Linked DNA regions of Mus musculus: region 1 is reported to be linked to region 2. Evidence: microRNA targets listed by miRTarBase, many of them from high-throughput screens and not tested one by one. Region 2 holds a microRNA gene; the other region holds the end of a gene's coding sequence.

What was found. Region 2 holds the annotated microRNA mmu-miR-470-5p (UUCUUGGACUGGCACUGGUGAGU, at 1,920-1,942, opposite strand). A microRNA usually pairs through its seed, bases 2 to 8, with sites in the 3' UTR of a target mRNA and lowers its output. Matches are read on the target gene's strand: a 7mer-m8 pairs with bases 2 to 8, a 7mer-A1 pairs with bases 2 to 7 and ends in A, and an 8mer does both.
Region 1: miRTarBase lists Colec12 as a target of mmu-miR-470-5p. Seed matches in the 3' UTR shown: 7mer-A1 at 3,688-3,694.

What each region holds. Positions count from the first base shown.
Region 1 is chr18:9,876,671-9,881,070 of GRCm38, reverse strand. It overlaps Colec12 (collectin sub-family member 12), which reads right to left. Exons shown (of 10, transcript NM_130449.2): 10 at 3,076-4,083. The coding sequence ends at 4,064. Among named protein-coding and RNA genes, the nearest start is that of Thoc1, 79 kb to the left of the region's middle.
Region 2 is chrX:66,812,076-66,816,475 of GRCm38, forward strand. Mir470 (microRNA 470) reads right to left here and starts at 1,950; the gene lies at 1,876-1,950.

The DNA of each region.
Region 1 (4,400 bases), not on the chromosome of region 2:
TTATCTTTATATTCATAGCATTTTCATCTATATGACAATGAAATAATCTAAAATAAATGAAATTAGGTGTATTTTTCTAAGTACCATAAAGGAGTAGGCTATAAGTTGATACTGAATTTTGCAAACTTCTGTAAAGGGACAGATTGTGACTATTGCCAGTTTTGTAGTAACGGTCCCTTGTAACTGCTCAACTTTGCTGTTACAGCTCAGAAGCAACCACCTCAGGCACTGCATTAGTTTCCATCACTACATACTCAACAAACGCAAGGTAGAAGAAGGAAAAGATTTTCTTTCATTTCATAGTTTTAGAGGCTTCAGAGGTCTCTTGCTCCTACTGCCTTGGGCTTATGGCAGTGGGAACAATGTGGTAGCAAAGGCCCATCTACCTTATTGTGGCCATGAAGTAAAGAGATAGAAAGACATTTTCCCAGTGACACAGTTCCCTCTCACAAGACCTCATCTCCCAGTGATGCCATAGGCTGGGGATCAAACATTTGTGTGTGACAGAAAGTAAATAAACCAATGAACCTGTGTTTTAACAAGTTTGTTTATAAAAACAGACTATCGGCCATATTTGCTGATTCCTAGTCTAGTGTGAGCATGTACCATATAAAGAACTTACTACAATCTTTCCCTTACAACCTCCCGTGTGTGGAATGTCCCTAGTGGGATTCAAGACATGCTTGTCAGCCTGTCTCTGACAAAGAAAAATTACTTCCTTGCTTTCTACCCAAGGTTCCATTTTTTCCTGGCATGGAACCAAGCCTGCTTTAATGGGAGCTACTACTCTATAAAGAACTGTTCCCTCACTTACCTGGGTCAAGTTATTAGGTGTCTGCAATGACTTAAAACTTGTTATTTCCTTAGCTGAACCAGGTACTTGAAAGATTTCTAAACAGAGAAAGGAACTAAGAGCATGACATGTATCTTTGGAGCCAGACACTGTAGTAGGTGATTTCTGCATATCACCTCATTAAAATTTGCAATGACTCTGTGAGACAGGTATAAGTATATCCAGTGTACATTTGGCAAATTCAAATATCACAGTTAATATACTTGCTTTTTTTTCTGTTTTTTAAAAAAGTTTGTTCATTTAAAAAAAATTAATCCTGACTGAACTTCCCACTCCCCCCATTCTTCTCACTCCCCCAGATCCACTCTTCCTGTTTCTCTTTAGAAAAGAGCAGTCCTCCCAGGAATATCCACTGAATATGGCATAACAAGATAAGTCTAGGAACAAACCCTTTAAAAAGATTTTTAAATTTTTTTACTTAGGTGTCTGTGTGTATCTGTGTGGGTGTATGACAGCTGTGTCATGGAGGCTTTTAGTTCCCTGGATCTGGAGTTGTAGAAAGTTGAAAGTTCTCCAACTTGGGTGCTGAAAACTGAACTCAGATCCTCTGTAAGAGCAGTAACTGAGGTTTGGTTACAGATCAGATTAAAGAAGAATTAAATATGAATAAAACAGTTCACTTTCATGTGTCATGTGGAAAGGCTTAAAAGTCTCTCTTTGTTGAGGTGGTTCACATGCTCAATTTATCCATTATGATTTGCTGTTGTCGTTAAGGACACCTTTGATTTCCCATGACATATGTACCTTGTCTAGTATAGAAATTAATAACTGAAGAGGTTAGGCAGGTCTTAAAATTTTAATTTCCTTTTCTTTTGGCTAAATATTACATCCTAGGGTTCCAAGCTTACCTGAAATGTTTATATGTGATCACTTCTCTGGAAGCTTACACTTTATAAGGGAAGAAAGAATATAGGTTGTAACCTCCTTCCAGCCTAGTCAGGCTGGCTCAGACCATCTGCCACTGAGGCAGAGCCACCTGCTGTGCTGCTTCTCATCCCTCTCCTTTGATGTGCCATTACCTGCTACCTGCCTGAGGCAGAACTGGTTTCCCAAGATCTTCCAGAGTTAACATTGAACTGTGATTTTCGAGAGTTCCTGCTAAAAGACTGATCTGACAACTTCACAAGAAACTTAGCTGGGAATGGGCCTCCCCTCTTCTTTATAAAGCGTGTTCTCTGACATTAAAGTTGAACCTTGATCAGAATATTGTCTTGGTTCCATTTCTCTCTCAACCTGCCTAGATTCCCTCTTTTCTTTCAGTTCCAAGATGCATCCCAGGCTCAAACCCAGACATGAGAGCCACAGGCCGGCCCCAACAATAGGTGACATGGGACAGGGGCTTGGACAACCTTCACCCTCTGCCTGAGCTATGAAACAGATGCAAAGACAGGAGTACACACAAGTCTTAGAATCACAAGGGAAGATTCTTTTCAGGGTTCAACAAATAACCAAAAGTTTACTTTTGCATTTCATTTAGCCCATGTCTTGGAGTTATGCTTTGAGAATTCTACTTTCCAAATGGCATGTAGCTGGTTTCTGTCTTGCAAGCATCACTTGGCTGCCTTTGTCTGATGTGACATTATAATCTCTTGCCTGCTCTGATATGAGTCTGACACTAAGCCTGTTTATAAATCAGCCTTAAACCAGGGCCTTGGAGACACCCAGATTCAGGTGCTCTGTCCGTCCCCACAGATGCTTCTCCATCATTCCAGATCCACAAAGTAGAACAAAAGCACATCCCAAGTCAACACTTCCTTTCCCTCTTTCTTTCTTTCTTTCTTTCTTTCTTTCTTTCTTTCTTTCTTTCTTTCTTTCTTTCTTTCTTTCTTTCTTTCTTTCTTCCTTTCTCTCTCTCTCTCTCTTTCTTTCTTTCTTTTTTTTTTCTTTTTTGGTTTTTCAAGACAGGGTTTCTCTGTGTAGCCCTGGCTGTCCTGGAACTCACTCTGTAGACCAGGCTGGTCTCGAACTCAGAAATCCGCCTGCCTCTGCCTCCCAAGTGCTGGGATTAAAGGCGTACACCACCACTTCCCAGCTTAACACTTCCTCTTACTGGAAGTGGCCAGTGCTGGGCTAGTGGCACAGCCTACTTGAATGAGCTGTCATGATGTTCTCAGGCTTGAGCTCCGCCATCACCAAAATGTACAAGGGCATTTCCAGATGCTTCATGTGATTCACGGTTCTGAAGAAATCACACAGACATAGACACATACAACAAAAATTTTCTTCAGCTGGACAGATTAAATCTGAAGAGAAACTCCATGAAATTTTATTAGTACCGCTATTATTATCTTTGGCTTTATGTATCATATAGGTACATTAAAAAAAGGAAAATGATTGTAAAAGGCAAATATTTTGTATAAAAATACGAAGTTTAAAAGCTCTTTAAGTATATTTCATATTATTACTAAAATGTGGCCTATATGTGTGCATCTGCATATTTTTCCTACATTTGGGATTTTAGAAACACACTGTTTACACAGAGCCAGTGTACTGGCTAGTTTTGTGTCAACTTGACACAGCTGGAGTTATCACAGAGAAAGGAGCTTCAGTTGAGGAAATGCCTCCATGAGATCTAACTGTAAGGCATTTTCTCAATTAGTGATCAAGGGGGAAAGGTCCCTTGTGGGTGGGACCATCCCTGGGCTGGTAGTCTTGGTTCTGTAAGAGAGCAGGCTGAGCAAGCCAGGGGAAGCAAGCCAGTAAAGAACATCCCTCCATGGCCTCTGCATCAGCTTCTGCTTCCTGATCTGCTTGAGTTCCAGTCCTGACTTCCTTTGGTGATGAACAGCAGTATGGAAGTGTAAGCCGAATAAACCCTTTCCTCCCCAACTTCCTTCTTGGTCATGATGTTTGTGCAGGAATAGAAACCCTGACTAAGACAGTCAGTAACTCAACAACCAATGATAGTCTTTTTCTGATTGGAGCATTCCATATTTGGAAAGATATACTTTGCATAAATTCTATGGTTAATGGCTGAGAAAATCTATGCGATTCAGTCCATTTGTACACTGGAAATCAATATATCAACTTGGGGGAGCATTTTAGCCCCCTAGTCCTTGGGTTATTGTGCAGTAGGTGTCCATTTATTTTGAATAACTACTTTTCAGAGCTTTTTCCATTCAATCTGGTGAGAAGTGATGGAATCAAAAACGAGCATTCTTCGGCTTTCAGAGGCATCAGAAAATATGTTTCTGCTATTATATCATGCTGTTATAATATGGATGATGGTACTGAAACAGAAAAAAAAGGATGGGCATTAGTTTTGTTTGAATAATAAAATTATTAACAACTTAAAACAGGAGGAATCTTTAGGAAAGAGCACAAATGGCATTATTGAAAGAAAAATGTTGGGAAGTTGTTTTTTTTTTGTTTTTGTTTTTTGTTTTTTCCAGATTAAGCAATGTGGAGCAAGCAGACCGTGCCACCAGACAGAAAAACTGGTAAGATTGAAGTAAGTTCAAAACCCCGGAGAATCTCAGAATTGAAAATGGTAGGTGTGGAACCAGTTTCCTGCCAAGCCAAGCTCTACCTGTTCTGGAATGTGTAA
Region 2 (4,400 bases):
TAGAATTCTGCACTAAAACCACCTGGGCTTTTTTCTTTTGATAACTGTTTCCCTTTCCTTAAGTGTTATAGGGATGTTTCAATAGTTTACTTGATCTTGATTGAACTTTGGAAATAGGTATCTTTCTAAAATGTCTTACAATCTGTTAAAGATTTTCCAAATTTATGTAGAACAGGCTTTTAAAGTAAGAGCTAATGATTCTTTGAATTTATTCAATTTTATTTGTTAATGTCTCCCTTTTTAATTCTGATTTTGTTTATTTGGATACTGAAAGTAGGGAAACCTCACAATGGGCCGAACAGGGCCATAGCTACTTTCCATTTTTTATGGAGGTCCCTTCATATGCTAATAGCCTGGCACCTCCCAACAGTGGGATAGTTGGCTACTCCAGAGCTTGTATCAATACCCCATTGGTCCAAAAGCTGTATAAAAACACTTGCAAATGCACAATACATTAGATCTGTACTCAGTGATGATCTCTAGAGTTGATTTCCCCAACTCCACTTGCCAAAACTGCTCCTGAATTCTGGTTCATCCCACAAAATAGGTTAGAACAGATAATACACTAAATGTACAAAATAAAGAAAAAACTGCAACCACAAAAAGGCCAGGTATAATCTGAAGAATAATTTATCAATATTATACCTGCCTTTTCAACAGAAACAATAACAGCCACAGGGCCTGAGAAGATGTCTTACAGCTTCTAAGAGACCACAGATGCCAGCCCAACAAAATTTTTGAATCACTACGAATGGAGAAAGCAAACTATTTGATGATAAAATTAAATTAAAACAGTATTTATAATAAATAAATTAATTTTAAAAATTACTCTAATGAAAAGAATATATTGTCTTTTCAGCACCTCATGGAACCTTTTGAAAATTGGCCATATCCTTAGACAAAAACCAAGTTTCAAAAGATACAACAAAATTGAGATTACTGTATTATTTCAGATCACCATGGATTAAATCTGGACTTTAATGACGGAAACAACAAAAAGCATACAAACCCAGGAAAACTGAACAACTTCCTACTAAATGACTCCTCAGACAAGGAAAAAAAATAAAGACCCAAAGTTATGGGAACACAATGAGAGCAGTGCTAAGAACTATTTGGGAAAAAATAGGCGAGACCTTATTGGAGAAGTTATGTCACTGGGGGTGGACTTTGAGGTTTTAATAAAAGCCATGCAATTCTCAATTAGCTCTGTGGCTGAAGATCAGGATGTAAATGCTCAGCAACTACTCTATTGCCATTCCACTTGTTTACCATCCTGTTCCCTGCCATAACAGTCTTGAGTGCTCACCTCTTCAAACTTTTCACCACCCATAAGAATGTGTTTTTTGTTGGTTTGCTTTGTTCTGTTCTGTTTTGGTTTTTTATTAAGTTGGATCCTTTGGCATGGAGCATTGTCTCAGCGATAGAAAAGTAACTAAGCCACCTTCTATTCAACAGGTTCCACTTTTATGTATTTTATACCATCAAGACAAATATAACCACCTTCAAACAACACATACAATAGAGAACTGGTATAGTTTATCTGCTCCATCTGATTTCATCATTCTTCAAACAAAGCTTTATTTTTGAATGTTAACTTATTTATTTAAAAATACCATGGAAATATCCTTTATGTTATATTTCTTCCTGTTGGTTCTATGAAAAACAACCAATTTTCTTTGTTTTACATTTTTCTTCTATAGAAAGGAACTTAATATTCTTTTTGCTCTGGTTCCGTAATATGTTAGTTTCCGTAACTATTCATATTGAAACCTATATTTGAAGATATTCAAATCTACCTAACATTAGAAAGTGTCCTCCAAGGTCCTTATGGATAATCCACTATCTTGATTCAGGAGCCTCATCAAAAGAATGTGATGAGCTTTACTCTTCTCAGAAAGGTACTGGTTGTATTTAGTTTAACTCACCAGTGCCAGTCCAAGAAGAGCACTGCACACCACAGCTTCAATATAGAGACATTATTTCAGCCATTTCCATCATGATGTTCAGGTTTTATCATAGACCAAATAGAATATGAAAAATAACTATGGACATAATTTATTCTAAAATTACCTTAGGATAACCAACACATTTTTTACAGTAAATTTCATTCAAGGTACAATGCATATTGTGGTTCATAACCACCTATTACCCCTGTTCCCAGAAATGTAATTCCCTCTTCTGAACTGGTAAATATAAATATATGGATACAGAGCATCCACATACACAAAATAACCTCCCTCCAAAGCAGACAGATTTCAAATGCATAAATAATTAATCATAGTACTATGGAAAAACAACATGAACAAGCCAAGCACAGAATCAGTCAGTAAAAAACAGACAAAATAGAAACAAAAACTGCAATAAAGAATCAATGATTATTCTGGTCCACCACCCTGGAAGAAAGTCAGAATGGCTACGATCAGTAACACAAGTGAGAGCTAATTCTGTCAAGGATGTAAGATAGAAAAGGAGGACACTCCTCAATTGCTGGTGGGATGAAAACTTATACAACTACTTTTGAAGGCGACAGCTTCGAAGAAAATTGGGAATACATTTACCTCAAGACCTAGCTACATCACTCTAAGACATATACTCAAAAGATGTTCTACCCTACTACAAGGATACTTCCTCAACTATGTTCATAGCCACTCTATTCATAATAAGCCTAAGCTGGAAACAATCTACATTTTCCTCAATTGGAGAATATAAAGAAACTGTGGTACTCAGCCATTAAGAACAAGGACATCATGAATTTTGAAGAAAAACATATGCAACTAGAAATATCATCCTAAATGAGGTAACCCAGAACCAAAAGGACACACATAGTATGTATTTACTTATGAGTACATATTAGCCATTAAGGACAGAATAACCATGCTACAAAACACAGACCCAGAGAAGATTAGTAAAAAGGAGGGTTCAAGAAGGGACATAAGAAATTCACTATGAAGGAGAAATAGAATAAACATTATTGGTGAAAGGGGGGGGGGCTCTGTATGAAGGCATGGCGATGAGAACAGGAGGGATTTGGTGGTAGGTAGAAAAGAATACAAGAAGAGAAACTTGAATTTTGGAGTATCTCAGGGATGAACTAGAAATCTAGTCCAACAGTATTCACAGGAGTCTATGCAGTGACCTAAGCAATGGGGCTATTGTTCTAAACTGGCCATCTCTGAGACATTAACCCAGTCACAAAAGATGCAACATACAATTTGCTGTACTTATAACGTGTGCTACGGTAGAAGTAGAACAGAAATAATGAGAATGGACAACCGATAACTGACCTTGAGAGCCATGCCACAAGATGAGGCCTACCCATGTCACTGCGTGGAGGTCAAGAAATAAGAGGCTGAATAGGTCAGAGACATGAAATGGCATACCTGGCACATGCCTGGTACAAAATTTTTAAAAAAGCCAATGAAATGATGCATAATGATATTCTCCTATACACATAGATTGGTGATTACAGTTGTCTATAAGGAAGCAACGTTTTACTACAGAGCAATTGTGATAAAAACTGCATGGTACTGGTATAGAGACAGACCAGTAGACCAATGGAATAGAATTGAAGACCCAGAAATGAACCCACACACCTATGGTCACCTGATCTTCGACAAGGGAGCTAAAACCATCCAGTGGAAGAAAGACAGCATTTTCAACAATTGGTGCTGGCACAACTGGTTGTTATCATGTAGAAGAATGCTAATCGATCCATACCTATCTCCTTGGACTAAGGTCAAATCTAAGTGGATCAAGGAACTTCACATAAAACCAGAGACACTGAAACTTATAGAGGAGAAAGTGGGGAAAAGCCTTGAAGATATGGGCACAGGGTAAAAATTCCTGAACAGAACAGCAATGGCTTATGCTGTAAGATCGAGAATTGACAAATGGGACCTAATGAAACTCCAAAGTTTCTGCAAGGCAAAAGACACCGTCAATAAGACAAAAAGACCACCAACAGATTGGGAAAGGATCTTTACCTATCCTAAATCAGATAGGGGACTAATATCCAACATATATAAAGAACTCAAGAAGGTGGACTTCAGAAAATCAAATAACCCCATTAAAAAATGGGGCTCAGAACTGAACAAAGAATTCTCACCTGAGGAATACCGAATGGCAGAGAAGCACCTGAAAAAATGTTCAACATCCTTAATCATCAGGGAAATGCAAATCAAGACAACCCTGAGATTCCACCTCACACCAGTCAGAATGGCTAAGATCAAAAATTCAGGTGACAGCAGATGCTGGCATGGATGTGGAGAAAGAGGAACACTCCTCCATTGTTGGTAGGATTGCAAGCTGGTACAACCACTCTGGAAATTAGTCTGGCGGTTCCTCAGGAAATTGGACATAGTACTACCGGAGGATCCAGCAATACCACTCCTGGGCATATA